Ovis aries: one gene and its partners. The main gene of each other region encodes a partner of the protein of the gene in region 3 in a complex. Links are inferred from orthologs where the notes say so. Each region holds a gene or a part of one and is shown on either strand. Other genes may lie near its edges.

Region 1 (4,853 bases), on a different chromosome or scaffold from region 3:
CTCCTGCACCAGGGATTGAATCAGTGTCATTACAAGAAGGATTCTTAACCACTGGACCACCATGGAAGCCCAAGTTGACTTTTTAATGTGGTGACTTGTCTGGGCAGAACCACATGCCCCAGAGTTCACCCCTGTGTTTCCAGGTAGAGTAGGCCACTGAAGATTTTTCTGAGCGAGACGTGGTGGGTAGAAGGGAAGCCGCAGGTATCCTGGTTCCACGCTCAGGAGATGGGACAGGTGCAGCGGTGTGACTCACACACATGGCTGGCGACTCCATCTTCCCAAGATCCTCTTAAGCTTCTCCCAACCCTGGGCCAGGGGTGTGTTAGCTCAGTGCTAGAGTGTACCCGCTTCTCCAGGTGACCACAACGAGAACTGATAGGTTCCAGCTGGTCCTTGCCCTCCCCTTCTTGTCTGCCCTGTGGGCCCCAGGCTCCAGCAGCAGATAAATGGAAAGACAGCAGCCTTACAGAGACCGTGGGCCCAGCTCCCACAAGTACTGTGGAAGTAACTCCTACTGGTCTGCTTCTCTGACTACACCCTGGCTAACACTCCTGAGTGTGAGGGCTAAGTCGCTCAGTCGTGTCTGATTCTTTGTGACCCCATGGACTGTAGCCCAACAGGCTCCTCTGTCCATGGTGTTCTCCAGGCAAGAACACTGGAGTGGGTTGCCATGACCTCCTCCAGGGGAGCTTCCTGACCCAGGGATCGAACCTGTGTCTCCTGCATTGCCAGGCAGGTTCTTTACCACTAGCACCACCTGGGAAGCCTGGCTAACACTCCTACTGATCAGAAACTCTGGGAACAGAGCCCAGCAGTCTGTCTTAACCAGGTGATTCTGATGCATGTTAAGATTTGAGAATCTCTGATGTAGGGGAAAGCCTTTTTACAATTACGTGTGCTGAGAACCTAACTTTCTATACACACACACAAGGAAAGTTTTGCATCATGGAAAGGTTAGCATCAATATACCTGAATGTCCCAGAAATTCAACTACTGCATAAAACTTGAGAAAACAGTACATTCTTTTGTGGAGAACTTTCCTCAAGGGTTTCTTCATCAATTCAGAAAAACCAGGTCCTTGACTTTCGAGGGTGAGTCACAAACGCAGCACCCGTCTGGGTCTGTAATCTTGGCTGCCCAGTTCTTGATTTTACCACATACATCCAGACTTGAGGGACATGAGTATGAGTAGTTTGGGGAGTTGGTGAGGGACAAGGAAGCCTGGCATGCTGCAGTCTGTGGGGTTGCAAAGAGTCGGACACAGCTGAGCGACTGAACTGAACATACAGGCAGGGGTCTGATGACCGCATTAGGTGGAAGAATGGCATTTATACTGAAATACAAAGTTTCCTGTTATTTTGTTCCCTTGTATTATTTTTTTTAATCTTCTTTTAAATTGCTATTTCCTTCATTGCTACTAGGGTTGACATTTTTTATGTTTATTTGCCACTATTCCCTGGTGGCTCAGACAGTAAAGAATCTGCCTGCAATGCAGGCAACCCGGGTTAAATCCCTGCATCAGGGAAGATGCCCTGGAGGAGGGCATGGCTACCCACTCCAGTATCTTGTCTGGAGAATTCCATGGATAGAGGAGCCTGGAGGCTGCAGTCCATGGGGTCACAAAGACATAGACACCACTGAGCAACTAACACAACACCACAATACATTTCAGTTCTGTAAACGAATTCACAAAACTTGTTTACGGTTATTAGCTCTTCAGACTCTCCATACTGTGAATACGGACAGGGCAAAACACTGCCATTCTGCACTCGGGAGAAATGGGGCTCCCAGAGCTAAGAGCAGTTACCAAATATTTATTGTGCCATGCATCCTAGCAGTTATCTTAAAATGTATTACTTCTGACTTTCCCAACAGCCCTGCCAGGTAGTTATTACCAGCCTCATTTTACAAATAAAGAAACTGGGGTGGGCTGACAGGCTGGTTAACTTGCTCTCAGCCACTCAGCTGGTAGCAGGGCCGTCTGCGGTCGCCTGAATCTGTCTCCTTGCTCCGCAGCAGCTTCCCAGGGCCTGGGCTGAAAGATGCTGGTGTCAGCGAGAGGCACAGGGGTCCACCCAGTCCCACACATGCAGAGAGGCGTCACTGGCTGCCGATAACACAGTCCTTGGTTTGTAGGGGTGCCAGGTGTGGGTGGTGACCAGCGGGGCAGGGTCCATCCCACTGTCGTCTAGGAAGATGTGACCTCTGTGAGTGAAGAGAGGTTCCACTTGGCGCCCCACTCCAGCCCAAGACGTGACATCATAGACCTGGACCGTCCCGTCGAACCCTGAGGAAAAACGAGAAGAGAGTGTTGACGCTGTATCTCTGAAACTGTTTTTATAATTTGCTCCGTGGAACCAAACAGGCTGGAGGGTGAGGAATCAGACAGTAACGAGGTACTTAAAGACCACCCGAAGGGCACGTGACACGTGGTTAGCCACGTCGACAGCAGCTGATGGTGTCGCAGAGCACGTGCTCATGAGCATGTGTGGCCTGTCCATCATGGGCCAGGCCCGGGGCTAACCCTGCATTCTCTCTTTTACCCCTCAGGACTATATGAAGTAGGTAGTATTTTTTTTTTTAAGTTTATGTATTTAGTTGTAGCATGTGGGATGCAGTTCCTTGACCAGGGATCGAAGCCAGGCCCACATTGGGAGCAAGGAATCTTAGCCACTGGACTACCAGGGAAGTTCCCATGAAATAGGTACTATTATTTTCCCCAAGAAACTGAGGGTGAAGAGACTTTTCAAACCTTTTCTGCTAACCCCCAATTCTACTCTCTCCACATGTGGGTCCCTCCCAGCACATGGCCTTGTCTCCTACCTGATGGGGGAAACAGAGACGCCTAGAGAGAGAGAAACACCCCAGAGACACCTAGAGAGAATTCCTCCAGCCCGGCTCATCTCTCCTGCCCTTTCTGGAGCCGGTTGTTATCAATGAGCCTCTCCTGCTCTCTCAACTATTGGCAGCCTCTCCCCACTCAGAGGATTCTTCCGTGGGCTTTAAGATATCTCATGGCACACCCTTATTCAGCTAGATGCTGCCAGGTCAGACCCAGGAGTCTGCTGCCCTCCCTGGCTTGCTGTGATTCTAAAAGTGAGTAGCCTGAGAGGCACCCGAGATCCTGTCACCTCTCCCTGGTTCACCCCATGGCTGTTCTGGTGCTGTCCCACCTGCAGGCTTCCGGACCAACCTCAGAACCGAATTCCTGCTGGGACAGGAAAGGCCCGCTACCCACATATGAAGTTTGGTAGCCAGGATGAGGAAGGGCCATCCCTCACGAACCTGGAGAACTAGGAGCTTTTCTGTGACAACTGTACCTTCTGGGGCCACATTTATTATGGGGCTGTGGGCTCCCTCCCGAGCACCTAAGAGTCCCCTGGGAGAGAGACGAAGTGACAAAGTCCTCTCAGCAGTACCTGAAATGGCCAAGCAGTTGTCCAGGCTGGGGGCCCAAGTCACTCGCAGCAGCTCTGGCTCAGGGCTGGGCATGGACACGGGGCACTGGACTGAGCTCACGGGCTGGCAGAGATCCCGGGGGTCGAGAAGACAGAGCTGCCCGTCTGAGCCGAGGCGGGCAATGCTGGGCCCAGGGCCCCGGCCCCCAGCTTCTGCACACCACCGCCTTCCAGCGGACCCAGGGCCGGGGCCGAGGTTCTCTGACGGGGCCCACTTCTGGCGGGTGTCAACCAGCCCCAGGCGGCCTGAGGAGCAGCAGAAGGCGAAGGTGTCCGTGTCCAGGACCTGCAGGCTACTTAGCACATCATCGTCACTGACACCTGGAGAACGGGGCGAGTGAGAAAAGCTGCTGCAATCAGATGGGGCTGGTGGGCCCAGCCAACGGGTGGCCAGTCCTTTCCTTGGCGAAGCTCCCCAGCAGCCCCAGGCTGAGTGAGTCACGTCCCTGGTGCCCCCCATCTTGCAGGTGCACTCAGCTGGCTGGGTGCTGCTCTCAGGACCACCTCCCCACACCCAAAACAGGAGCCCCTGAGGCCAGGCCTCGCCTCTCATTCACCTCACTTCCACAGCAGCGGGCACGCAGGGCTGAATTTGGATTCCAGTGTGGCTGAGCAGGGCTGGGGGGGGAGGAGCTGGAAAGGACTGTGGTACCTGAGGTGTACATGGTCTTCTGTGAGTCCAGATCCACCACCTTCAGGCTGCTGAGCCTCGTGCCATGGAGGATGCCGGGTGCCACTGATGGGAAAACGGCCACCCTGGGCCAAAGAGGCTCCTCGCTCTCGTGCACATCAATGGTGCTGACAGCTCTGATGACATCTGGCGGGAAGCGGGAGAGGCTCAAGTCCAGAATGTTAAGGCAGGTCTGCAACATCGCATGGGAAGGGCCAGGCAGAAGGTCAGGGGAGAGAAGGAGCTCACTGTCGGCGAGGGAAGATGTGGAGACGCAATAGCCCCGCACTGTGCTCCTGACTCTGGAGCTGTCAGGGGCACTGCCATTTCTCTATGATTTGTCTCATGGACTGTTTCCCAAACCGGAGGGAATGAATGACAGCGGCCACATCCAGGCCCGCCAAGCAGCTCTGGCTTTTTATAGTTTTGTGGAGAACAAATAAAGGAAGAGAAAAGAACACACCGGCACTGTCGTTTATAACAGGAAGAGTTCACGAAGTAACATTATTTCTTCAAAAACATGTCCCGTGACCTCAAGCTGTTTACTGAAGCCTAGCAGGTGAAGGGTACAACACAGATGTCTTCAAATGTAAACAGGGCAAGAAAGTCCACGTCTTTTTCACACTGAACATCGACACACTTGACCTCAGGCTAAATCAGACTCGAGCTCTGTTCACCTCAGCCTGCTTGGACAGCAGGCAGGTTCCCATCCTCTGCCACCT
Region 2 (5,835 bases), on a different chromosome or scaffold from region 3:
TTATTGTAACTTTGTCATTGACCTGCTGCAAAACCTTGGACAGGCTACTCTCCCTTCTGAATCTTGTCTCCTCACCTTCTAAATTAAGATGACAATTCTTAATCTACTACTTAATTCTGAGGACTAGTCTTTCTGGAAATTAAACAGTTTTATATTTTTTTACCAGTAATTTAAAATCACTCTTTTTGTTATATGAACAGTTCATTTTATTCCCCCAGAAGAGGTACAATGACAACTGTTACTGCCTTCCCTTCCCACACGGGCTGGTTTGTGGGGTAGTGCAAAAATGATCTATTCATACTTCACCCTACAGCGTCTGAGTAGAAACTTGATAATTTGAGAAAATAACAGAAGCTACGTAAGTATTTTTCCTTAATTCGTAAAGGATAAAATGAGAGAATACGAACGCAATGACATTGCATTTCCACAGTCTGTAAGGCGCTCTGAAAACTTCAAAAAGAGACTCAGTCTGCAGAGCCTAAAATGTGGGCGAGAATGGGTCTCGGTGGTGTTGCCTCAGTTGTTGAAGATGATTCAGAAGTATGGTTGTTACTGGAGATGGTGTTCAACACCAGCAAACTTGGTTTGTTTTGGAAATAGATGAATGCCTTCTGGAATTTTCTTTCATTGTATTTTTGAATACATGTGTAATTATTTATTGCCGCTATTAGTGGTTTTCCCCAATGAAGGGTGTTAGGTGGGTATAGATGACTATCAAGTTTTCACAAAGAGGAAACGGTGCTATTGAATGTCAGAGCAGCCCTTTTGGAGGTCCAGTGGGCCTGTCACAATTGAGGGAGCTTCCAGCCAGGAAGCTGTTCCCAGGATCTGCCTCCCTGAACATCTCTCACTCCATATCCTTGCTGTTGGAATGTTCTGCACTGTTTGCCACAGTGCAAGTCTACAGGAAGATAGAGTTCCTTATTCTAATCTCTTTTGGTGAAGGGACCCTAGATATGGGGAAATAAATGCTGTGGGACAGCATTGTTCTGCAGGGGCCAAGGCTCAGGGAAGGCAAAACAGCATATTACAGCTCAGAAGAGCTTGAAAGGTTTCAAGGGATATATTGACTTGTCCCTGGTCATACAGCAGCTCACTGCATGAACCAGGCATACAATTTGGGCTGTCCTGAGCCTGAAAAATTATGATTCACTCAGGTTTACCTTTGAGAGGCTGCTACCTAGTCATAATTTAAAATCTCCGTTTTAATTTTCTACTCAGCAGTTACTCATGTCAGATGTTTTCTCATCATTTGTTGACTTTATCTCCAGTTAGAATGTGGGCTGCTTGAGAACAGGGAACTTGCTCATCACCTTTACCTCTGTGTTCCCAGAACCTCTATATCTCATGTCCCTAGTGCCTGACATGTAGTACATGCTCAACAAATAATGAAAATGGAATGTAGGGTTTCAAGTTTGCAATAAAAATTCATTTAATTCTTAGATAACTCTGTGGTGGGAGTTAGTATTCTGCTCTTCATTTTACAGATGCATAAGTGGAGGCCCGTGTAGCCGATTAATGGTGGCTTGGGGGCCGGCATGCAGATTTCTTAAGTGCCTTGTTTTTTCACTATACCATCCTCCCATCTGGCCTGGGATACTAAAGTGAAATGTGTTCTCATTCTGAATGCACCAGCACTTTCTTCCTCCTAACCCAGGAGACGAGGCCTGGTGTTGGGAAGGGACTACTTCTTGTCCCTCAGCTCCCTACCTAGGGCCTGGCTTTTGGGAGACAGGATGCTGCCAGGCCTGGAGTCACATAGACAGGTTTCCAAATTCTGCCTTACTTACTGTGATCCTGAGAAAGTTATTTAACCTGTCTGTCTCATTTTCCTTTAAGACTGTAGAGTGGTAATATATACCTCATAAAGACATACTCTTCTAAGCATGATAAACAGGTTGCATGATTGGCCCCAGACGATCTTTTGTTTCTTTTCCCCACTGTCTTCTCCCTCTTGTTTTTTTCTCTCTGCTCCCTTCCTCTGATGGCAGAGGCTTGAATTGCCCCCTTCACATGTGCTGGTGAGGGAAGGCTTAATGACCAGGTAGGGTTCAGTTGTCTGACCTTACCAGGGTTTGGCTCCTGAAAGTGCTGTGAGAGCCAGGGCTGGGTTGTGGTTCAAGGGTTGGCGGTAGCCATCTAGGACACAAGAGAAGAGCCTGTTGGGAGAGCTGATACTGGAGCCTCGGACCAGAGAGCAGTGCTGGTTTCATTACAGAGACACTGAAGGCTGGTGAAAGGGCCTATGGTAAATGGTCCTGCTGAAGCTGCTGTCTGGGCTTGGCTGGGTTGCTCTGGCCGGCTGCCAGCCCTCCCTTCCTGGAAGACAGTGATCTTGTCTCTATTTTGATCCCTAGGGAGAAGTCTGGAAATAACAAGGAACATGTCTGGGGAGGCATTGAGAAGTCCTGGGACCTCTGCCCTTGTTCATTTTCTGTTCCATCAGCCCTCGTTGCTGCCCTTTAAACACCTTACCCTTGGGCTCAGCTTTAAAACTTGCATCTTTCATGAAGTAAGGAGGTTACCCAGTCACACAGAATCGAGGAAGACACCCAAACTAGCTGTGTTCTTGTCCTCTGCACCTGGCGTTAGGTCTTTCTGAAACCCTCTCCCTCTTCTTTATTGAAGCCACATGGTTAATAGAAAGATTAGTGTTTCAGTTTATGAACTGAGCTCAAATTCTGTCACTAGTGTGGATTTGGGCAGTCACTTAGAAACTCTCAGTACCTTGGGACTCTTTTGGGATCATGACGATCTTTCTTTCATGATGCGGCAGGGTAAGAACTCTTGGAGTTATGTGTTTGGCACCAAGCAGGTGTTCCATTCCAGAGCTTTCCTGGGTACCTTCGTCAGTGCTTTTTACAGACTCGCGTGTGAACTGTGCTCTACACAACTGTCTCTGCCTCCTCAGCCAAACAGCAACTTAAGGGAGGTCTTATTTATTTTTGCTGGGCCTGCCAGGTGCAGACACCAGATCAGTATTGTAATGTCTGTCATGAAAGAATGGAAGGTTCAGTGACATGATTTTATGTCCCTGAAATGTGTTCCTGTTCATAATGAGTGTTTTCTGTCCAAACTATTTCCAGATGAACAGCTTCTTCTCCGCTAATGCAGCAGAGTCCACTCTGCACATAGCCCTCAGGTCTGAGATCGGCTGTCCAGAAAGAGCATGGTTATCTGGGCACAAGAACTGGCCACATGCACACACCTTGTGACCCTCTGTCTTGGAGGCTGGAAGGCCTCTGTACAAGAGGGTTTTTTGCTTGCTCTCTGAGCATCTCAGCAGCCATGGATCTGAGCTGCAGGGAGCCCAACAGACCCGAGGAGGTGGCAGTGGCAGAGAGATAGCAGCACGTCTGTAGCTTAGGAAGAACCTCACGGTATTCAGGCTGGAAAATTGTGTTTGTTTTGCAGATGGGGGAAGGGAGGGATGCAGACAGGTGAAAAATGTTCCTGAAACCCCTGCTGCCTCCATCTTTGATCTTGCTTTTACTTGACATTTCATCCCAATTCCTGGGCGTTGCCCTGTCATTGATGATTTTTGTCTTTTTTTCTAGAACCCTGCCAGGTGGAAGTGAGGCTGCTGCTGGCCTACAACTCCAGTTCACGCATTCCAAAATCCCCCTGGATTGAAGGTGGTGAGATGTCACCCCAGGTGGAAACCGGCATCGAGGGCACCATCCCCTTCAGCAAGTCTGTAAAAGTTTACATAATGCCCAAGCCTGCAAGGCGCTGAATCACAAGCAGCCTTTACAGCCGTGGCCTAGAAGGCCCTTCTTGGGATCAGAGTGAGCCAGAAGCCAGAACATTTCACCTGGAAATGGTATATAGGCATAAGGAGGAACATGTGGCCCTTGCAGTCTCATCTGTATCAAGCATTGGATAAATTATTTTGCATTAATTAAGAAAACAAACCTTCAAGTCTATCCTGCCCCCGACCCCCAACCTCCATAGCCCTGCCCCCAATAAAATTGAGACACCAAGCTGCTCTAGTCCCTGGTCCTTCAGGGAATCTGTGTGGCTGTAGGTTCAACATTTATGCTACATGTCTACATTCTTCAGGTGTGAAACAAAAAGATCAATTTTCTAGCTACTTCTAAAGAACCAGTTATCGGAGCCATAATCTTATTTCATAAAGCAGCAGTCTGTTTGTCAGAGCCAACCCCAAAGCAGCTTTCACAGCTTTGCTTTTTCACCATCGACAGTTCCTGAATGGCCCCAGACTTCATTGTCTTGCTGAGAGTCTCCTTCCTTAACTCAGGCAATGGCTGGCCAAGAACTGAATGGACAGCTGAAGAATGAATCATTTTCATTCTTCAGGAAAATTTTTCATCTTGCCTGCCATTATCCTTAGGACCAAAATATGAGAGATGGGCCATATTTTAGAAAAGAAACCAGCATTATGGGAAAGAGGGATCTAGTATAAGAAACAGAGTCATTTTCCAGTGATGACTTCTCTGATGACTCCAATGTTGGAGCTGCATGTGAGTTAAAGATGCAGCTGTGGTGTAAGAACAGTAAAGGCTGTGAACCATGTGAGGGCCTGTGCTGGGTTCTTCACCTGTCATTTATTCCTTGTAACAGCCAAGTGAGTCTGACAGGTTAGGTCATTGGTAGGAATACTGTAATAACACCTGTATTCATTCAGATCCAAAAGGAGTCCAAAGGTCTGAGCTATACCACATCAGGAGAAGTATATGGAAAAGAACCTACAAATCTCTCTTGTGCCTTAATTTTCTTATCTGTAAAATAGAGATAATTATACTTTATGGGTTGTTGAATGGGTTTAATTAAATAATGCTTGGCAAAATCTTAATCTCTGGTCAGTCTTGATCATATTTGGTGCTTGGAAAGCTAATAAAAATAACAAGAGCATGCAGTTCCTCAGAGGCAGAGCTGGAATTTGAATTCAAGCACGTTTGACTTCTGGTTTAACACACCTAATGTGTGCCCAGCAGTGTTGCAAACCCTTTAATGAATTAATTCATTTAGTCCTCAAAACTATAGTGTGAAGTAGGTGCTATTATAATAAACCTAATAGTAGGTTTTAATTAAAGCAGTTGAAGTTCAGAGAATTTAAAGAAGCCAGGATTATGGGAAAGAGGGAGCCACTATAAGAAATAGCACTTTCAGCTCCATCTCTGATGGCTGCAGTGTTGGAACTGCCTCCTTGGCCTAGGTCGCACAGCTGGTAAACTGTGAGCTGGAATTAGAACCTGGGTGGTCTGGCTCCTGGAGGTCATGACTGCTATGGAGAGACTAAAAGAAGATCACCTCCGTGGCGTTTACTTTTCTTGTGTGCTCACTTACTTAGTACATCTCAGTGATGTGCCATCAGTGTCAGCAGGAGGCCCTAAAGGAAATTGCCTGCCTTGGAGATAAAGTAAAGCTGAAAGCCAGACTGAGTCATACCATGGCCTGACACAAGCACCTAATGATGATGACTGAGTTGACACAAAGATGAAACATCAAGAACCATTGCTGCTAACTGAGCCTTCCAAGGGAAAAGTATGGTGAATCCTTTTTAGATACACTACTCCTTTTATAAAAATCTTTCTCAGTTATTCCCTATTTTATAGGTGGGAAAACTGAGAGTTTGAGGTCATGTCTTTCTCCTGAGGGGCAAGGGCGAGAATTTGATCCTAGGTCTTAAGACCTGAAATAGTACTTTCCCCATCAAAGGTGAAGATACACAAAGGGGCAAATTTTGCCTTAGTATCAGGATGAGTTTTTGAAAACTGTAAGAATTGAATGGGTTGTCTTAGAAGATCAGGAATTTCCCATGCTGAATGTGTTCAATCTGAGGTTGAACAAGCTCCTGACAAGTGTGTTCTA
Region 3 (6,392 bases):
TGATAACAACTAGTGAATGTAACAAAAACAAGACTCACAGACATAGAGAACAAACTACTAGTAGGGAGAGGGAAGAGAAAAAAGGTGAGAAGCATGGGGGATTAAGAGGTACAGGCTCTTATGCATAAAGTAAGTTACAAGGATATGTTGTACAGCACAGAGAAGAGCGCCAACGTTTTACAACAACTATACATGAAGTGTAGCCTTTACTGATCTCCTAAAGAAAATCAGTCCTGAAAATTCACTGGAAGGACTGATGCTGAAGCTGAAACTCCAATACTTTGGCCAGCTGATGGGAAGAACTGCCTCATTAGAAAAGACCCTGATGCTGGGAAAGATTGAAGGCAGCAGGAGAAGGGGATGACAGAGGATGAGATGGTTGGATGGCATCACCGACTCAATGGACATGACTCTGAGCAAGCTCTGGGAGTTGGTGATGGACAGGGAAGCCTGGCATGCTGCAGTCCATGGGGTCGCAGAGAGTTGGACACAACTGTGCAACTGAACTGAACTGACTGATACATGAAGTATAGCCTTTACAAACTGTGAGTCACTATACTGCATACCTGCAACATATAATATTGTAAGTCAATTATATTTCAAGTTTAAAAAGAAAATTCAACAGATGAATTTAACAGCACATTATATACAACCAAGAAGAGAATTAATGAACTAAAATAAATTAAAAAGGCTAACTAGAATGAAATACAGACATGAGGACAGTGGAGGGTCTGGAGGAGAAAGATCTCCAGTCAGCCTGGAGGAAGCTGGGGGCAGCTCCAGGGCCTCACACCTGAGCAGGAAGGGAACAGGTGGAGCCAGCACAGCCACCTGCCAGTCTGCAGGAAAGGACAGAATCCCACAAGCCGCCCAAGAGGATTCTCCTACAAATAGCAGGTGGAAGACATGAGTCCTGGTAGTACCTGCTGCCCTAGAATTCTGAACCTAAGGGAGAAAGTCTTTATTTTTTTAATTTTTTTTTTTTTGGGGGGAGAAAGTCTTTAATGATCAAGGCGAAATAAAGCCATCTGCAGATAAATAAAGTTGAGAGCATTTGTCACCAGCAGATCCATACTGATGCTCTTCATTGCAAATACAAAGTGAAGACCATGGGAAGGAGCAGGGACACAGCTAGGATAATGGAGATGGTACCTAGCAAATGGTGAGGGCCTTGGGGCCTCATAGGCTGACAGAATTAAAATCCTGCTATGTGGAAATAAGAGCTGGTGAGTAGGAGAGGGGTAAGTGAATTCAAGATGCTCTGAGATGCTTTCATTGTCCAGGAAAGAGGCAAAAGTTCCAAGTACCTTAGAGCTGAGTTGTCATGGATGTGTTTTGTAATCTCTGCCACAAAAAGAATTACAAAAGAACATATAATTACTTATAAAATAAGAAGACAAATGGAGTTTTAAAAACTCAGTCCGGAAAAAGACAATAAAGGAAATAGAACAAGATGGACAAACTGGAAGTAAACAGAAAACGATACACCTAAATCCCAAATTATTACACATGGAGTGCACACCTCTCCTATAGGATAGGCCATCAGGTTGTATTAAAGCCAAGCCGTGGAAAAGAGTCACATTTAAAATATGATGCAGAGGGACTTCCCTAGTGGTCCAGTGGTTAAGACTCTGCACTTCCACTGCAAGGGCAGCAGGTTTGATCCTTGGTCAAGAAACTAAGATACCACATGCTACACAGTGCAGCCAAAAAACAAAAATAAAACACGCTGCAGAAAGGATAAAAGTACTAAGAAGGGCAAGGATTCAAGGTGTGGGAGGGGCGAACTTTCGCCAGAAAGGCAGACTCGAAGATAAAGCATTACTGAGGATACAACTCAATGAATGATTCAACTCAACAAAGGGTTCAATCTGAAAAATAAGATGACCCCAAATGTCAGACTCATGAAAAAAAGCAAAACCTAGACTCTTGAGAAGAAACAGACAAATCCATGATCCTTGTGATAAATTTTACATTTGATGTCACTCGCCTGCCTCAAGTCTTACCCCTCCACCCTGAGTCAGTCCACTGCAATGAGCCCACACTCTGGTCTCTGACCTGCCCGGCCTGCTCCCGTGTACTCAGATGGCACACTGGCCCTCTTTGGCATCTTCCACACACTCAGGCAGAGCCAGGGAGTGGCAGGAGCCCTGCTCAGTACTGGATCTGAGCTGGGCCCCACGCTCACCTTCTGCCTCCAAGGGTCCCTGGGATGGCAGCAGAGTGAGTTGGGGGCGGGGGTGGGGAGCTGACCTGCACCGTCTGGTGGAGGTGGACAGCCACCACTTTCTTCATGCAGTCCTTGATCATCTGGGACGTGAAGAAGTTGGCCTCGCCCTTCTTGTCCACGGCGATCTTGCGGTAGTCCTCCAGCAGGATGGGGCAGATGGCCTGGGTGGGCTGGGTCATGTAGATGGGCCCATCGTAGCCCACCATCTCACTGAAGTAGGGGAGTGCCCCGCAGTGGTCCAGGTGGAAGTGGCTGCAGGCGCAGCACCAGTCAGCTGGATGCCCCCCAACCCTCCACCCAGCAACCCTACCCCCATTCCTCTGCTCACTGAGGGCCTGCTATGTGTCAGACATGGCCCTGAACATGGGAGAGGGAGAGGGCAAAAGGGACTCAGGCCCAAGTGTCTAGCGATGCCACCAGCAGGCAGTTACTATGGGGTCAGCTTCACATTCCAGGAAGGAACAGGAAGGGGCTCAGGGCAACAAGAACCAGTATGCCACTTGGGTGGGTGGCTGGGTCTGTGGGTGGGGAAGGCGCCCACCTGATGATCACACAGTCCAGAAAGTCGGTCAGTCGGCCACTGCGGGTGATGTAGGAAAAGTCGGGGAAGCGCCTCTGTGGGGGGAGAAGCAAAAGTGTCAGGATGCCGCCTGCCCAGGGCTCAGGTGACTGTGGGGCAGCCAGGGCTGTGGGGATGGCCCCTGGGTCAGGATGCAGTTGAGCCTGACACCCACACCCTGCAGGCCCACTGAGGCCACCGACTGCTCAGAACCCCTGAGCATGTAGGGCAGAAGTCAGGCTGCTGAGCCAGTACCTGAGAGCTGAGACCCCACAGCCGTGCCCTGGCTCCAGTACAGTCTGACCCAAGTGCTCCACTTGTTGGGTGACGGTGGGGGCTGCCCTCCTACCAGTGCCCACTTGCCCCCGTTCCTCCTCCATAGTCAAAGCCTGCGACTCCGAGGCCCAGGTCCCTCGGTGATGACGCCGAGGTGCAGGCTGGATGCCAGGCCGCCCACCCTTGAGACTCACATCGTCGCTGAAGCCCATGTGCATCCCGCAGTCCAGCATGACGTTCTTGCCCGCAATGGACACCAAAATGCAGCTTCGGCCCACATCCTGGCCAGCCCCTGTATGGGAGGACCAGTCGGAGGGACAGCCATGCCCCCCTCTCTCCCACTGCCCAGTGAGGATTTGGGGTAAAAGAAGCAGTAAAAAGACAGGACTGTTCAAGGGTGCGCGGTGAGAAAGATGTCATAGGGGAAAAAGGCTGGCAAAAGTGAGTGGTGAGAAAGATGCCACAGTGGGAAACAGGCTGGAAGAACCCTGCAGAGGCCCCTGGAGAGGAACCAGGTGTGAGGAGAGCATGGAGCTGAAGCAACCAGAGGGGAACCGGAGTCAACAGGTAGGAGAGGTGTGAGGACACCTATGGCGGGGCGGGATGCGTGCTGTGCCCTGGACGGCCAGGGGAAGACCACTGCAGCGGGAGGCTGGGTGGGCTATTCTGAGAATGCACCATAGAAGAGAGCATGTAGAGCTGCGGGGAACAACCCTGCTAGAAGACGCTGCGGATATATGGCCGTGGCAGGGGGGCAGGTTTCCGGAAAGCCCCTGGCACCTGTGCACAGAGACCCCGGCTGTTCCCATTCTGAGTGACCTGCTGTACCTCCTTCGCACTGCTGTACTGTTTTTAAACTATGCACTTATATCTTCCGCAAAGGGCAAGCTGGGGGCGGGAGAGACGTTGGTTTTTGTTTTTAACGCTGCGCCGGTCAAGCAAAAGAAAGTCTGACTGACGTGGGGTGAACGGCCCACGGGTAAACGGAGGCTGCAGGGAAGCGGGGCTCGAGACATATGGAACAGGTGGAAGGCAGCGAGTGCGCGAACGCAGAGGCAGGAGGAAGGTGCACTAAGCACTGGTGCTGGGCGGGGGGCCGCGCGGCGAGGAAGACGCGTCCCGGGGTCCCCGGACCTCCGAGCCCCCTACCAGCCTTCCTCGGGCGCTCCTTGCGCCGCCCAGCACTCACCCAGGGGCGTGACCCTGATCTCGGGCATCCTGCTGGGCAAGCCAAGCGAGCGGGCAGGATCAGCCCGGTCCCACGAGACCCCGGGGCCCGCGACCCGGTCCCGGCCACGCGCGCCTGACTCGCGGCTATGCACGGCGCAGGCGCATTCCCAACGGCCCCAACTTCCGGCGTGCCGGACGGAAACGCTGGCCCGCGCAACGTGCTTTCTGATTGGGCGGCCAGCAGCCAGTCCCGGGCGACGGGGCGGTAGGGCTGTGGCCGACGCCCGGGCAGCCCGCCCCGTGGCTGCTGTGGCGGCACAGGTGAGCAGCGGAGGCGCAGGTGAGTGGGGCGCGACGGGCTCAAGGCGGCGCGGGGAATCCCAGCCCAACCGAGCTGGGCCTGGGCCTTGCCGAGGGGTCGGAGCGGGAGCCCCCAGGCGTGGGAGGAGGCGGCCGAGGACCCGGCTCCAGCGCTGGCCCGGACCCCGAGCCCCTGTCCCCTCCCTAGGGACTTAGCTGGAGCAGGACCCGCGCAGGACAGGGGCCCCACCCTACCCGAGTCCTGGGTCCCAGCCTGGCGCCACCTGGAGCCCCCTTCTCAGGCGAGATTTCCGGGATTTCCCCGCTCCCACCCGCTGGGCCTGGGGTGCCGGAGGGCAGCCCTCTTTTCCTAGGGACCTTCAGCTTGCCGTCAGTTTCAGGATGAGCCCTGACCTTGGGGCCATGGGCTGCCCTTGGGGGAGCCTTGGCGATTCCCTGCATCACCTCCCCGGAGCTGGCAGCCTGCCCGACCCCGCTGCGCCGCCACTGCCCTTCCTGTTGTTTCCAAGCTCTGAAAGGCTGCTGGCACCTCCCGTTGACTGCTGGCTCAGGTTCCAGGCAGGAAGGCCAGGCCCATAGGATGGCTGGTGACCAGGAAGGTAGCCCTGAGGGCCTCAAAGGCCATCTGTCTGGTGGACAGGACACTGAGGCCCTGAGAGAGGGGAGGAGTATGCTGGAAGCCTCCCATTGTCTTCTTCCTGAGGCCAGGCACTGCTGTCCCCCACACCTGAAGATGGAGTGAGCTCACCACCGGGCCCTCCACCTAGTGCCAGGCATGTGGCAAAGGCAGAGGGCCTGCAGGGCCTCAGCACCCACTGGGCCCCATCAGAGGCTCCCAGCAACCTGGGTGATGGGCAGGGCAGGGTGTGCTGGCCCATTTTCCCTAAAGCTGTGGGACAAGATCTTAGGTCAGTGCATGACTTGCCCATGGTATGGAAGGGACCCACATGTGCTCTCTTGGCTGGGCTCTCACCACAGCTCAAATGGCCTCCTCTCATGCAGGCTCTTACAAGCCTTCCAGCATTGAGGGCCCAGGAACCCCTGTGCCCAAAGGGTGAGAGCTTGTCCTGGACAATGAGATGAGACACAGCCTAGTCCCCAGGGCCCATCAGAGCCACACCACAGTGCAGCCCTGGGCACTCAGGGAGGCAGGGGCTGGGGTGTCCAGCAGCACCTGCTAACCTTGGGCACTTGGGTGTTTGTGGCATGCCTATGGGAATGCCAGCAGAATCTAGAGGAGTTCTGTGGCCTGGGGCACTTCTGGAGTCCCTGGGACTGGGAGAGGGCCTGTGTCCAGCCTTCTGTGTGGGACATGACATCTCCTTGCCCTCTTCCTACATTCTCACCAAGCTCCAGTTACTGTAGGGGTGGAACATCTGGTGTCTGTCCTCTGGCAAACGCTGACCCCACAGCCTCTGTTCTGGGTTTTGGGATATAGCTTCAAGCATGGAAGGTCATGACGCACCCCACCCCCCCGCTTCCGCCCACGGTCTGTCTCTCCGTGGTTCTCGTCCTTTTACTTGCTGGGTTGGACTTCCTGTCTTTGTTAAAAACCACACACGCACACACCCACCACTAGGATGTCACCCCAGTGGGCTGGGCTTTGGTTGCACTCACAGTGCACCCAGGTGGCTGCCTGGCTCTGCGTGGGGACTCAGCAAATACTTCTCCAGTCAGTAGGAACAGACACACCCTGGAGAGACACAGACTATAAACAAGCAAGAAAACCTGAGCACAGATGCTTTCCACAAGTGAGATGTATCAGGTTTGGCAAGGCTGAGTTACGGGGGGGGGGCCATGCTTAAAGCAAAGGGCCCTGCTGTAGCCCAAGCAGAG
Region 4 (6,287 bases), on a different chromosome or scaffold from region 3:
GAATTCAAATTTCCCAACCTCAACTTACACACTTAATTCAACTAGATCTAACTCAGCTGTGCAATTTTAAAATAAGTTTAACGCAAAGCACTACAATCTTGATGTGATAATTACCTGCGAAATAAATGCAAATTAAAACCAAATGCAGGTCCTCTTCATCGAAAGATGCATCTTACAGCAAAACCACTAAAAGCACAACCACATAGAACCAACTAAAGAAACAGGCATAGGAGGCAGCATGTCCATCAAAGAAGAGAAATGTACCATGCCAGAACAGAAACGAAGCACGGAAGAGAGGGAGGGAGAGCAGGCAGGCAGGCAGAGAGAGAGAGATGGCAGAGGTTTCTACACCTGCAGGATCCCAGAGAAATTAACTAGTTACATCACTCTACCCTACATGATACGTAAGATTTTTAAAGCTTCAGGGTAAATAAAAACGGTAATCACTCTAAACCATCATTCAACTTTACATAGTATAGTATTTGTAATGCCAACTGCATTCTCCCCTTCACTCACCCAATGTTTCCTCTCGCTTCCATACCAGCTTTCAGCCAAATGCGAGACAGAACAGGGTGGGGTAGAAGAAAAATACAAGCTGCGCCTTTTAGCGAGTCCCCACGCACCCCCCTCAACAATTTCCAACAGTTTTTCCTACTACGAAAATAAGTCACCCAACCACAGGATACACAACAGTCATTCCGTGTCTTCAGCAGACACACAGGGTCGCGTACAGAAGTGGGCACTCCCGACCCCCACCCCTCCGCCCCCGAATCTTAAGTAATGTTTCATCTATGGAAGGTGAAGACGACCAAGGAGACCTACTGTTTCGGGGTGAGGATGGGTGGAGGACTCCTTTCCAAGTAGCCCCAATAGTGTAACCAAAACACGGTTCCGGAATAAAATATTAAGAACACTCTTCCTTTCCCACCTAGCTACCGACTTAAGGATGCAAAAAGCCATCTCCACCGCACCTCATCTCTCCGAGGCGCCTGCCCTGAGTTTGCGGTGGAGCTGGTCCCGGGAGACGGGGAGGAGTGTGAGCCGCCGATGGGACACAAACGAGTTGCTCCCCGAGGCCACCCCGCGCCGCTCCGCTAGCCCAGAGGTCCCGGAGCCGCACCTCGCGCACGCCTCTCCGCCCAGGCCCAGCTAACAGCTCCGACTCCGGCTCTCGAACTTCCTCTCCTGAGACATTTATTCAAGGCTAACCCATCGCCCGAGTGCACGTCACCCAGTTTCAAACACAGCTCTGCACCCCAAACAAACCCACGCACCTCAAATTCCCCTCACAGTTTCCCAAACTCCAAACTGGAGACCCCACCTCCAGGATTCAAACCTTCCGCCCACTGGGGAGGCAACCAGGAGAAAAGAGTTGGGAGCACCCGACGCCTTTCAATTACTGCCCCCACAAACTGCCCCACCCCAGACCCTGCGTTCGGGTCACCCCCGCGAAACCCCACGCTTCCTCCTACCTCTCAGTTGGGCCGCTTAAGACACTCATCCCCAGTCCACTCACTTACTCCCCCCAACACCGCCCCCCCCCAAAAAAAAAGTGAAGAGAAAGAAGTGAGGAAAGAGACTGGAGAGACTTGAGGCTTCCAAACCACTCGACTCACCTCAGAATGCTTGCTGAGTTCTCTCCGCCCGGCACAGCCCCCTCCCCAACGTCCCGGTACGAAGGGCTGAGGTCTGAGGTAGGGAGGAGGGGAAAGCGGGAGGGGGAGGGGTGTCTTCCGCGTGGGGCGCCCGTCGGGAGGGGTCTGGGGAGGGGTTGAGGCCGGCGCAGGAAGAGGAGAAGGGGGAGGGGAGGCCCCTATCTCCCAGTCTCCCCCTGAAAAACCTCCCTTGTCTCAATCACATCAGACTGACTGTCTTTGTCTGGCTGACAACCGCCATATTGATATCAACAGCCCCGCTCCCACCTGCTGCCACCGGGCGGCCCTGGGAGTTGTAGTTTTTGTCTCCCTTGAGTAAAGGTGCGGGACTCTGCGTCCCGAGGCCCCAAGGAACTACAGCTCCCGGCAAGTACCGCGCCAGTGCGCCTTCCCACAGGGAGGAGGGGAAAGGGGCGCCAGAGCCGTAGGGACTACACATCCCAGCATACCATGGATTCTGGGCCCAGATGAGGGACATGATATCATGCTGGGGTGAAGAGGCAGGATGAATTGGCGGCGCGGATGAATTTGAGCTGACGGAAGGAGGCGTTCTAAGAGGAGAGGAAAAGGAAAGATGACCACGGTTCCCATGATGCACGGAGAGATGACTACATTTCCCATGATGCACCGGGAAGGAGCGAAGGGGGAAAAAAGACTGCATGTCCCGCGATGCTCTCGGCGGGCCCGTCGTGGAGATTGAACCGGAAGACGCTTTCTGGGTTTGAGAAGTCGAGGAACTGCTCCTTACCAGCCAAAAGTCCAGCATGAAACTGGTGAGTCTCTGCTCTTAGATCGGAGGGCATATCCTTTTGGAATTCGTCGTTTCCACCTTGGGAAGGGAACCGTCGCGGACGAGGGGTGGCAGGAAACTAGAAGGTGGAGTGGACCAAGGAAAGCTGATGTTTGTTGTTGAGTTTGAATTCCAACGCAGACCCTTCACAACTGCTAGATGCAATTCATCCCTTGGCGCGGCCCTTTTGGTTAGATAAGAGATTGAATCTTGTCACCTTTCTTCACAAACGAACCAAGGTTGGACTTTATGAACCAGGTTTGATTTGTTTCCCGCCTGCCACGTGAGTGTTATAATTGGTACACTTCTTTCCACGGGATTGATACTTGAAGCGTTCCTTTTTACAGTTGTTGAGAAGGTTTGGTAACATGAACAGAGTTTAGAAAATTCTAGGCCGATCTTAATCTCTTATTTAATTCTCTGTTATAGACCCCTAACTTCCCTTGATCACTCAAAGGAGGTCGAAGTCAGAGTGTGATCTTGGATGGTTTGAGTCTTAAATTCTGTATAAGATGGGCTGAGAGGAAGTGTTAACTGGCGTTACAGTCTAGAGCTGTAGGGACTGCGTGAGCTAAGGTTATATGGAGCATGCCAGGATACCTGGAAAAGTTCTGCATCACAAAACTTGAGACGCTTGGCTTATAGGAAAGCTGTTCAGGCTTTTGTTTTGAGCCATTTAATTCTCAGTGTGCACAGATTTAACTAACTTACTCCAACTAATTAATTGGAATTAGTAATAGCATAATTTGAGTAGAGAAGGTGTGAGATGCTGTTTCTCAGGCTTTAAAAGTCATGTTCCTGCAGCCAGGTATTGTCAGGCTTTACTTTCTGAAGTTTCTGAGGAAAAACAAAAGGTTTCTCTTAATTATTTGAGCATGCTTTTGAAAAGTACGTGTGTATGTACCCACACACGGTACAGGCATATATATTCTGCACAGTGTCAGCTGTTCTTTGAGATGGCAGAGAACATAAGAAAGGTGGATTCAATTCCAAAACTGTCTCTATCTAAAGCTGTTTCTATTAGAAGGACGCACAGATCAGTAGACCTTGAGAGTGTCAATTTGCTTTGGAGTCAGTTTTCCAAACATTTCAAAATGCAGAATTGAAAATCACCACCCTTGTCCTAAAGAAGCATGCAATCTAATGAAGAAGATACAAAGTAATGAAAAAGTTATAATTCACCTCCATCTGGGTGAAAGGAGTCATCATGTTTAGGGTTTGCTGATTGAGAGGATACTGGGGGTATGTGGGGGAGTCAGATACAGCTCCTTTGGAAAGGTAGTTCTTGAACTGATAAGAAGGTCAAGTGCGCTGGGGCCTTCCTTGAAGAGGGTTCAGCTGAGAGAAGCCAAAGAGCTTGGCACCTGAATGGTTGAAACACAGACCAGGTGTCGTCAATAAAAGATAAATCATGGTTGATGTGTGTGGTGCGAAGGCAGGCAAGTGGGAAGCAGGTTTTTTCCTATAACAACTCATTTGCTGATTGTATCAGAGCCAGGGTTTAATGTACATATACTTTGGTTTGCTTATAAAATTCTCCTGCTTACTTTATTTAGAGATGTGAAAACGTGGAAAAAGTAGGAACATTTTTTTCCTTTAAGAACCATAAAATGCCTCAGAGGAAGAGGGATTGTTCTATCTATACTCCTTCCCTCTTTATTGTTCATCCACCTAATAACTAAAACTCATTTGGTACTTGATGATTTATAATACAGGAGTATCTTTCAGAAACACTGACAGCAAGTTAGACTTCTTTTTTGTCCTGCCTCCCATACAGTTGGGCTTTCCAGGTAGTGCTAGTAATGAAGAATCCACCTGCCAGTGCGGGCAACTCGAGATGCGGGTTCGGTGCCTAGGTCAGGAAGATCCCCTGGGAATAGGAGATGGCAACCCACTCCAGTATTCTTGCCTGGAAAATTCCATGGGCAGAGGAGCCTGGTGGGCTACAGTCCATGAGATTGCAAAGATCTGGACATGACTGAGAGTGACTAACACTTTCATTTTTTCTTTGTAATATCAGGCAACTTTTTTTGAGGAAAATTCATCTTCAATTAATCAGGACAATTTTGAAAAGAACAGGAAAATTAGAAACATATCCTCTAGCACATTTTAGAGCCTATTCTCCTTTTAGTATCGATTGAACCTGATTGGGTATACCCTGATGGCCAAATTCAGCAAAGCATAGAAAATTGAACTCACCGGGGTCTTTAACAAAAGACTTTGGGAGCCCCCCCCCCCCCGCAAAAAAAAAAACCAAATTCATTGACAGAAATCAAGTTTGAAACATCATGGCCAGGAATTTAGTCATTCAAATAGATGAACGTTAAAGTGAATAAAATAACTAGCGGTTCAAAAATAAATCATTTGTCACACTTCCTGTAGATAGTTCCAGAGCTGGAGAGAATCCTCTAGTTTATTCAGTCAATAAGGATGTATTATACAAACACAGTATACCCGTGGCATTCAAAGTTTTAATACTTTGCATTTTAACTATTGAATTTGACCCCAAGGATCAATGACATGGAATTATTTGTAATTTTGCTGAGACGAAAGTTTGAATGTGATTTTAAGATGACTGATAATCCTTAGTGAAACGAGCCTGATTGCCTCAGAATCCAGGACTTTCTGCAGTTCCGTTGCTCTCTTGTTAAAGATCTGAAAGAAAGGTCACTTAAACGCTCGTTCTATGCTATACTCTGAATTTGATGGAGAAAATTATATGCTGTAGTTGTATTTATGAATTTAAAACCTCAATAAGGCCGTGAGTTACTTTCTTCAGCGGTCTGGGCTCCTTTTTTACAAAATGCTGTTTCATTATTACTGGCTTTGGGCGGGGATGGACAGGTGCAAACTTGTAACTCTCCAGTTTTCTTAAGAAAGCAGATGGAGCAAAGAAATGGATTCATTCAGCTGAGGACAGGTAAAGCACCAAGTGGAATTGTAGATTTGAAAGAAAATACTGGCTTGAAAGGGGCAAATCCTGCCTCAAGGTCAATTTAAAAAACACATCCCTTTAAGCATATCCCTTTGGGAAGGGATGTGCTTAATCCTTACCTTGGATCTGAGAACAGTGGATTCTTCCTGCAGTTTTAAGACTTGCAAAATCCTTTTGGCTTCTCAAACTTTGGATCAGGAACAGAAGATGGCTTGCTGTAAATAACAAACATAATTTTACCAGGACTTAATTCACCTGTTTCAGTACAATTATTAAAATGTCAACCTGGTTTCACTAGCTCTGTGTTTCTCTTTGCTAGTTGATTAGAGCGCCCTCGTGTGTCCCTATGGTGTAATGTCATTTCTAGCTTTCAAAAGGCTCTTTCTATCACCACCTCAGTATGATAGGGTTTTTTTCTCTTTAGAATGTTTTCCTCGAGGTCTGAAAACTGACATAAGGCCAGACCACTGTTCAGCTGTGCTCTGGGATTAAACTGGGTATTTTACTCTCGGGCATTTCTAAGTCCTGATGGTGACTCTGAAGATTAAACCTTTTATGCTTAAGGCAAAAAATATATATATACACCAAGGTGAGTATGGAGAAGGCAATAGCAAGCCACTCCAGTACTCTTGCCTGGAGAATCCCATGGACGGAGGAGCCTGGTAGGCTGCAGTCCATGGGGTCACTACGAGTCTGACGCAACTGAGCAACTTCACTTTCACACAATGGAGAAGGAAATGGCAACCCACTCCAGTGTTCTTGCCTGGAGAATCCCAGGGACGGGGGAGCCTGGTGGGCTGCCGTCTATGGGGTTGCACAGAGTCGGCCACGACTAAAGGGACTTAGCAGCAGCAGCAAGGTGAGTAATGAATTAAAAGGAAAATTTTATATTTGTGTAATGTAATAG
Region 5 (6,281 bases), on a different chromosome or scaffold from region 3:
CCGACGGCCCCAGCGCCCGCCGCGACCCCGCTTCCATGGCAACCGCACTAGCCCGCCGAGCCCCGGATGTGGCGAGCCCGGCCGACTATAGGTGTGCCCGGGGACACCCTCGCGCCGACCGGCTGCGCGCCCAGAGTGTGGGGCGGAGAGCGGGGCGGAGCTGAAACAGCGCTCTAGTTCCCAGAGCTGTCATTAATAAATATTTGGTAGGTTAACGCTGAAAGGGACAGGGAGTCCACAGCCTGCTAGCTCTGAACGCCTGGCATTGAGAAAACCATCTTCCTGATCTCGGATCTTAGGCTCAAGGGTTATGATGTAAAAAAAAAAAAAAGTCGCTGTCGTGTCTGACTCTTTGTAACCCCATGGACTATACAGTCCATGGAGTTCTCCAGGCCAGAATAATGGAGTGGATAGCCTTTCCTTTCTCCAGGCGATCTTCCCAACCCAGGGATCAAACCCAGGTCTCTGGCACTGCAGGAGGATTCGTTACCAGCTGAGCCACAAGGGAAGCCCAAGAATACTGGAGTGGGGAGCCTATCCAGTGATGTAGTCAGAGGACAAAAAAAAAAAAAAAAAAAAGATCTTAGGCCCAAGGGTTATAACGCAGTCACAGGACAAGAAAAAAAAAAAAAAAATGAGTTTACACTCGCTGTATTCAGTGTGTATAATGAAGATCTTTGGGCCCGTTGGGCTGCAAGGTTCATTTAAACTATTAGCAAGCATAATCTGCCCTTTCTCTTCCCACAGGCCTCCAAGGGCATTTACTCTGTTCCTCTGCCCTGCTGTATTTTTCCAGCCCCTGACCTTTATTATCTACAAGAACTCCCTTTGTCTAGAATGTAAGCTCTCTGGGGCAGGGCTGTTTCCCTCCCGACTGTACTGCTGTCCCTTGGAACAGTGTCTGGCACACAACAGGTGATTAATCAGTAGGTATTTGGCGCCGGGCGAGTGATAGCTTCTCTGTGCTTGTGTCCTCTAATATAAAGGGAAAGAAAGAGCTGCTGTGAAGAGCGCCAAAGAATTGATGCTTTTGAACTGTAGTGTTGGAGAAGACTCTTGAGAATCCCTTGGAGTGCAAGGAGATCCAACCAGTCCATCCTAAAGGAAATCAGTTCTGGGTGTTCACTGGAGGGACTGATACACCTGATGCGAAGAACTGACTCCTTGGAAAAGAGCCTGATGCTGGGAAAGATTGAAGGCGGGAGGAGAAGGGGACGACAGAGGAGTTGTTTGGATGGCATCACCGACTCCATGGACATGAGTTTGAGTAAGCTCCGGGAGTTGGTGATGGACAGGGCGGCCTGGCGTGCTGCAGTCCATGGGGTCGCAAAGAGTCGGACACGACTAAGCGGCGGAACTGAACTGAACCGAACCGAAAGTGCTTAGAGCAGCTGCGGGTTCCAAAGTGCGCGCTGTGTGACACGGAGGGAGTCCGCACACCGGGCAGGTGGTGTGGTAGGATGATGACGCTGGTGGGCAGGGACAGTAAATGCATTCTGAACCTAGTCAGGATGAAATCCCTCTGTAAGTAGAGGAAGTCGTGCCTGCTGCGCGCCTGACATCTTGCTTTGCTGGCCAGCTCAGACACGCGGGCCTTTGGTCGGCGAGGCCACGCCCCTTCCGCCGAAAGCCACGCCTTCCAGGCGCAAAGCCTGCTGGGTTCCGGTGCACACTCCTCTGAGCGCCCTGGTCGGGTGACGGGCCCAGGCAACGGGCTTGGCGGCGGCTTGTCCCGCTCCTCCTTAGCCCGTTCCCTGAGCCTGGGCCTTTGGGGCTCTCAGAGTGGCCTCCAGGGGCGTCCTCCCCGTCCTCGCCTCCTCCAGTCCCGGCGGGTCGCGCGGCCCGGGGCGGGGCCTGCGGCGGCTGAGGGAAGCGAAGCGGGTGAGGCGCGCACCCGGGGAGGGGTGGCGGTCGCTGTGGAGGGCCCGGCGGGGTCGAGGTTAGGGGCCAGGGCCTCCCGGGCCGTAGAACCGCCTGGGGCCCGCGTGCGCGCCCCTGGACTGGGCCCCAGCACCACCGCAGCCGCCGGCCTGGCGTCCTCCTTGGGGTCCACGGGGAGGGCGCCTTCCTCAAGAACGTAGCTTGGCCAGGGATGGACAGATGGACGTCCCAGCTTGCTCTTGACCCTGGCAGACAGAGTCACTGGCCACCCCATACCCCGGCGAGAGCCCTTCCTGCCCACAGGACCGATGGGCTCCCGGGCCTCTCCCAGGCCAGGCCCGCAGGTGCTCTTGCAGTCCCTGGAGGAAACAACAGTGGGCAGGGCGCCTTCCCCTCCGCACACTGCTGGCTGCAGGGTTTTCACACTGACTCTGGGAGGGACAGACACGGAGACAGACACCTCCCAGCTGGACTGAGACCCTTACAGCTCTGACTGACTAAGCCGATCAGCCTCCTACACGTGGCTGGCCCCAGAGAGGCATGCGCCCCTAGCTCGACAGGCCTGCAGCCTAGATCAGTTTCACGCTCTTTCCTCCCACCAGAATCCAGAGTTGGCTGCCTTTGAGCTCCTGAGGCTGCATGGTTTACCCCAGACTCCCATCTCCACCGCCAGACTCGAGGGCTCCAGTTTGCTCTTGACAACCTCCAATCTTACCCCAGCCAAGGCTTCACCGCAGTCCTGGCGGCTTGGAGTTTCCCTCTGAAGAGTCATCACCTGGCCTGAGGTGAAAGTCCTGGGGCCTGGTGGGGCTGGGGGCTGCCTGTGACTAGGCGGATGGGGTCTGGCCCTGCCTGACATCTCCTCTGCAGGAACCCCAGCCCCATCATGGACCCAGAGTGCGCCCGGCTCCTCCCGGCTCTCTGTGCTGTCCTGGCAGACCCCAGGCAGCCGGTGGCAGATGACACTTGTTTGGAGAAGCTGCTGGACTGGTTTAAGGCAGTCACTGGAGCAGGTACGGTGGGGGCAGCTGCCGACTCTGCCCAGAGGCCGGAGGGTGCAGGGCTCCCGTGTGCTAGGAAGAGGCCGTCTGTCTGGGGTCGTTCTTCTACATCTTAGAGAGTCCCCCTGGCTTGTCATATTTCCTCGCGCACAGATTATGGTTAGGGTTAGGGTGTGTAGGCTTTCCTGGTGGCTCAGTAAAGTCCCCTGCCAACGCAGGAGACTCGGGTTCAATCCCTGGGTCAGAAAGATCCCCTGGAGAAGGAAATGACAGCCCACTCCAGGATTCTTGCCTGGAGAAGCCCATGGACGGAGGAGCCTGGCGGGCTACAGTCCACGGGGTCACAAAGTCAGAAACGACTTAGTGACTCAACAACAACAGGTGTGCGTACACGCACACACACGCACATACATGCACACACGCGTGCACACACGCACACACACACACACACTCTTTGAGAGTGTTTTCCATTATAGTTTATTACAAAATGTTGAGTATAATTCCCTGTGCTTTACAGTAGACCCTTGTTTATTTTAAATGTAGTAGTTTGTATCTGCTCATCTCAAACTCCTAATTTATCCCCCCACCTTCCCCTTTGGGAACCATAAGTTTGTTTTCTTTGTCTATGAATCTGTTTCTCTTTTTCAGATAAGTTAATGTGCATCATTTTTTAAGATGCCACATGTAAGTGGTATCAGACGATACTTGTCTGACTTACTTCACTTAGGACAATAGTCTCTAGGTCCATCCACGTGGCTGCCAATGGCCTTGTTTCACTCCGTATATGACTGAGTCGTAGTCCGCTGTGTGTGTGCAACGGAACCACACCTTCTTCATCCATGCGCCTGTTGGTGGACGTTTGCGTTGCTTCCATGTCTTGGCTGTTGTGAGCAGCGCTGCTCTGGTGTGTAGACACTTCCGGTGCCATGTCTGGAGAAGAATGCCTGTTCCCTGCGTGTCTTGCTGTAGTGCTCTCCGTTTAAGAGAAAATTACCCACTGGAGAGGCGAAGATTTTCTGCTGCTCTTATTTGTGTCTTCTTTTCATAATCAGCAGGACAGAACGTCTTTTCGGGTCTGCTGGCCATTTGTATTTCCTGTCCAAGTCCCTTGCCTGTTGTCGAGGTGTTGTTGAATTAGAGTAATGAGTCCTTTGAAGCAGTTGTTGCAAATACTTCTCCCGGTTGGACTACTGAGTCTAACAGCCTGAGAGAGGGGGTCTGGGAGTTGCCAGAAGGACGGTCCCTTTTGGAGGCACGCACGGCGCCCTGGTGACGTGCGTCCCGGCTGGGCCTGTCCCCAGGCTCCAGTCTCCTATTACTGCAGGAACACCCCTGCCTGGTAGAGCTGCTGTTCCATGTGCTGAAACCCCAGGATCTGAGTTCCAGAATCCTGTCCTTCACACTCCGCCTCGCAGGGATCTTTGCAGCCCAGGAGAACTGCTTCCAGTTCCTCCAGGTGAGCCTGGGCCTCCCACCTGCGTGACCCACCTTCCCCTGCAGGTGCCTAGCAGCGGTGGCTGTTGTGGCCCCCGAGCCTCTGAAACTCGCTTTGCCCCCGTACCTTGACGTGTTCCACAGGGTTTTTATTCCTGGGTATAGTCCTCCTTTGAAGAATTCACCAGGAACGGATTGGGGTGGAGGGTGAACTTTTTGGAATCAGACAGAGCTGGGGTTGGGCCTCTGCCCCTTCGTGGGTGTCCCTCAGTTCAGCAGTGCAAGCTCCTAAGGCCCCGCCCACCCCAGCTAATGGTGGGGCAGACTTTCCAGGGTGTTCCACACTGAAGCCTGTTATAGGAAATGACTTCATGTCTGATCATCCTTCCGTACATACCTCAGCGTTTCCAGAGTCACGTTCGGGTTATCCTGAGAGCCCTGGCCAGTTCGCAGGTCAGGAGCCATCACCTCTGTCTCCGGGTGAGGAGACAGCGAAGGCTCAGTAGAGGAACGCCACAGGACCGGCAGGGCTCACAGCGGACCCTGCAAAGTCGGGCTGCTGGCGTGGTCGGTCACACCATCTGCCTCCCTGAAACAGATCCTCAGTCCCGATCACGTGGGTTTTCCCAGCTCCTCTGACTTCTGGGTGCTCCCTGGTTCCCGTCTCTTCTTCTCCATCTCCTCTTTCTCCTTCCGGCAGCCAACCGTGGCTGTGGAGGCTTAGCAGGCCGCGGGCTGCCCTTCTGTCTGGTGGCTGGCCCCTGCATACGGGGACAAGGGACACGGCAGGTTTGAGCCCTGCGTCGCAGAGGCAGCTTGCCTTGGGCCCTGGGCCCCTGGCACTGGCCTGGGCTCCTGTTCCCTTTTTGGCTTCCCTTTCACAGAACCCCAGGGCTGCTTGTCAGTGAGATGCTCAGCATGGGCCCCATCTGGGCAGGGGGCATGCAGACAGACGACATGAGGCTGGCGGCTGAGCCTCGGTGCCCTCCCGCTGGCTGCAGGCTGCCCCCAGGAGGGCTGTAACTTTGGGGGGGCATTTAGATGAAGGGTGATCCCACAGAGGGCCTCCCTGTGGGCTGCCGCCAGCAGCGGTGCCCCGTAAGGCCGTCGTGGGGTCAGACTCACCCTCCAGTGATTGAAAGAGCGTCTTTTCGGCCCAGGGATCCCGCACCCGGAGTCTGAGGTGACTAGAGGCACCCTGTCCCTCGAGGGTGGGGCCCGCATTTTATTGTCAACATAGACAAGGCTCTGAGCAAGTCACAGCCCCAGGGAGGGGCTCTGGGGGAAAGAGGCAGCCCCCGAGTTCCCACTCACTGTACTGGGCCCTGTGGGGAACAGGAGCCTCCGGCACGTGGCACGAGTCAGGGCGGTGCGCTGCTGTGCCGCAGGTGGACACCCGTGCACAGATGGGCACTGAGTGGGGAGTCGGGCACTGCCTGCTGCGGGCGGGGCGCAGCGGGCTCGCAGCTGGGTCCGAAGGGCTTTAAGCAGGTGTATGTGCAGGGCAGGCCTGACACATGGGGTGTGCTGGGGGGTCTGGGGCGGGGGACATCTGGAGGAGGGCACGAACTCCACGTGCCAAGCGCAGAGCCCAGGGGGCTGTGGAGACCTGCGGGTGTCTCGGGCACAGGGCGTCACGGTCAGGGGGGACGTTTGGCGTTTTGGCCGGCGTCTGCGGTGGGAGGGGCTTCTGGAGCGGACTGTGACAGGGTCGGAGCCTGAGTCTGACACCCAGCCCTTCCCAAGCTCTCTCCCTGGGAGGCAGAGCCGGACTCACTCGGCTCATTCCTCCTTCACTTCCAGCAGGGGGAGCTGCTGCCCGGGCTGTTCGGGGAGCCGGGCCCCCTCGGGACAGCGGCCTGGGCGGCCCCCTCCGTGCGCAGCGGCTGGATCCAAGGCCTGCACTCTCTGGCGCAGCACCCCAGTGCCTTGCGCTTCCTTGCAGACTCGGGTGAGTGCCCCGCC

What was found.
Region 1: the proteins of INTS11 (region 3) and WDR73 are in contact, whole or in part, in a cryo-EM structure (PDB 8R22), measured with the Homo sapiens proteins. The link is inferred for Ovis aries from reciprocal best matches to the Homo sapiens genes INTS11 and WDR73. Residues at the interface, in NP_060341.2 of Homo sapiens: Tyr206, Thr208, Thr209, Ile210, Arg211, Asp212, Ser213, Arg215, Cys216, Arg217, Glu218, Arg219, Asp220, Leu222, Lys223, Lys224, His226, Phe255, Arg258, Met259, Leu364, Val384, Glu385, Tyr386, Ser388, Lys418, Lys419, Glu421, Phe422, Gln425; in NP_116245.2 of Homo sapiens: Asp5, Asp6, Leu8, Val9, Ser11, Leu12, Tyr15, Gln16, Phe18, Tyr19, Ala20, Phe21, Asp22, Leu23, Glu50, Leu52, Arg59, Leu68, Phe69, Pro70, Glu71, Arg72, Asp73, Phe74, Lys75, Val76, Gly79, Phe81, Asp116, Ser117.
Region 2: the proteins of INTS11 (region 3) and INTS4 are in contact, whole or in part, in a cryo-EM structure (PDB 7BFP), measured with the Homo sapiens proteins. The link is inferred for Ovis aries from reciprocal best matches to the Homo sapiens genes INTS11 and INTS4. Residues at the interface, in NP_060341.2 of Homo sapiens: Pro183, Trp191, Lys194, Asp212, Gln288, Gln400, Gln404, Lys462, Met465, Ala466, Leu469; in NP_291025.3 of Homo sapiens: Leu159, Asp161, Thr162, Arg167, Tyr203, Gln207, Asp244, Ser292, Gly294, Trp296, Arg299, Lys323, Met326, Ser327, Asp328.
Region 4: the proteins of INTS11 (region 3) and INTS9 are in contact, whole or in part, in a cryo-EM structure (PDB 8RC4), measured with the Homo sapiens proteins. The link is inferred for Ovis aries from reciprocal best matches to the Homo sapiens genes INTS11 and INTS9. Residues at the interface, in NP_060341.2 of Homo sapiens: His94, Gln97, Ala98, His137, Leu138, His139, Gln140, Thr141, Lys274, His277, Tyr278, Lys280, Leu281, Phe282, Ile283, Pro284, Trp285, Arg291, Phe294, Ser449, Pro450, Ser451, Ile452, Pro453, Val454, Gly455, Ile456, Ser457, Leu458, Leu461; in NP_060720.2 of Homo sapiens: Glu127, Gly198, Tyr199, Ser200, Gln201, Lys202, Tyr231, Glu338, Phe339, Ile342, Phe343, Glu345, Gln352, Lys354, Val355, Tyr356, Leu357, Pro358, Glu359, Pro360, Pro361, Arg511, Arg512, Tyr513, Glu514, Lys515, Ile516, Glu517, Ile518, Met519.
Region 5: the proteins of INTS11 (region 3) and BRAT1 are in contact, whole or in part, in a cryo-EM structure (PDB 8UIB), measured with the Homo sapiens proteins. The link is inferred for Ovis aries from reciprocal best matches to the Homo sapiens genes INTS11 and BRAT1. Residues at the interface, in NP_060341.2 of Homo sapiens: Leu9, Val15, Gly16, Lys27, Met35, His36, Met37, Gly38, Phe39, Arg43, Asp47, Tyr50, Thr58, Asp59, Asp62, His70, Leu71, Asp72, His73, Asp87, Gly88, Gln97, Pro101, Ile102, Glu105, Arg108, Lys109, Val112, Asp113, Lys114; in NP_689956.2 of Homo sapiens: Asp25, Thr27, Cys28, Glu30, Lys31, Asp34, Pro117, Ser156, Ser157, Leu158, Phe159, Ser162, Lys358, Ser359, Cys366, Arg367, Arg424, Arg427, Thr465, Lys468, Lys469, Trp514, Glu515, Asp518, Ser519, Glu522, Tyr560, Ser564, Ser604, Glu605.

The regions. Positions count from the first base shown.
Region 1 is NC_056071.1:21,614,028-21,618,880, forward strand, and holds the end of WDR73 (WD repeat-containing protein 73), read right to left. Parts: intron 4,279-4,853; coding exon 4,114-4,278; intron 3,783-4,113; coding exon 3,423-3,782; intron 2,291-3,422; coding exon 2,055-2,290; 3' UTR 1,650-2,054; downstream 1-1,649. UniProt on the Homo sapiens protein: Component of a multiprotein complex required for the assembly of the RNA endonuclease module of the integrator complex. Associates with INTS9 and INTS11 in the cytoplasm, stabilizing the INTS9-INTS11 heterodimer and blocking the active site of INTS11.
Region 2 is NC_056074.1:15,731,108-15,736,942, forward strand, and holds the end of INTS4 (integrator complex subunit 4), read left to right. Parts: intron 1-3,557; coding exon 3,558-3,736; 3' UTR 3,737-4,816; downstream 4,817-5,835. UniProt on the Homo sapiens protein: Component of the integrator complex, a multiprotein complex that terminates RNA polymerase II (Pol II) transcription in the promoter-proximal region of genes.
Region 3 is NC_056065.1:50,520,059-50,526,450, reverse strand, and holds the start of INTS11 (integrator complex subunit 11), read right to left. Parts: upstream 4,405-6,392; 5' UTR 4,283-4,404; coding exon 4,255-4,282; intron 3,358-4,254; coding exon 3,260-3,357; intron 2,846-3,259; coding exon 2,772-2,845; intron 2,483-2,771; coding exon 2,254-2,482; intron 1-2,253. Other genes in the region: CPTP (ceramide-1-phosphate transfer protein), read left to right, coding at 6,295-6,321.
Region 4 is NC_056055.1:103,361,887-103,368,173, reverse strand, and holds the start of INTS9 (integrator complex subunit 9), read left to right. Parts: upstream 1-2,332; 5' UTR 2,333-2,419; coding exon 2,420-2,428; intron 2,429-6,287. UniProt on the Homo sapiens protein: Component of the integrator complex, a multiprotein complex that terminates RNA polymerase II (Pol II) transcription in the promoter-proximal region of genes.
Region 5 is NC_056077.1:41,040,894-41,047,174, reverse strand, and holds the start of BRAT1 (BRCA1-associated ATM activator 1), read left to right. Parts: upstream 1-1,242; 5' UTR 1,243-1,267; intron 1,268-1,667; exon of another isoform or gene 1,668-2,225; intron 2,226-2,483; 5' UTR 2,484-2,666; intron 2,667-2,751; 5' UTR 2,752-2,767; coding exon 2,768-2,894; intron 2,895-4,183; coding exon 4,184-4,338; intron 4,339-6,119; coding exon 6,120-6,267; intron 6,268-6,281. UniProt on the Homo sapiens protein: Component of a multiprotein complex required for the assembly of the RNA endonuclease module of the integrator complex.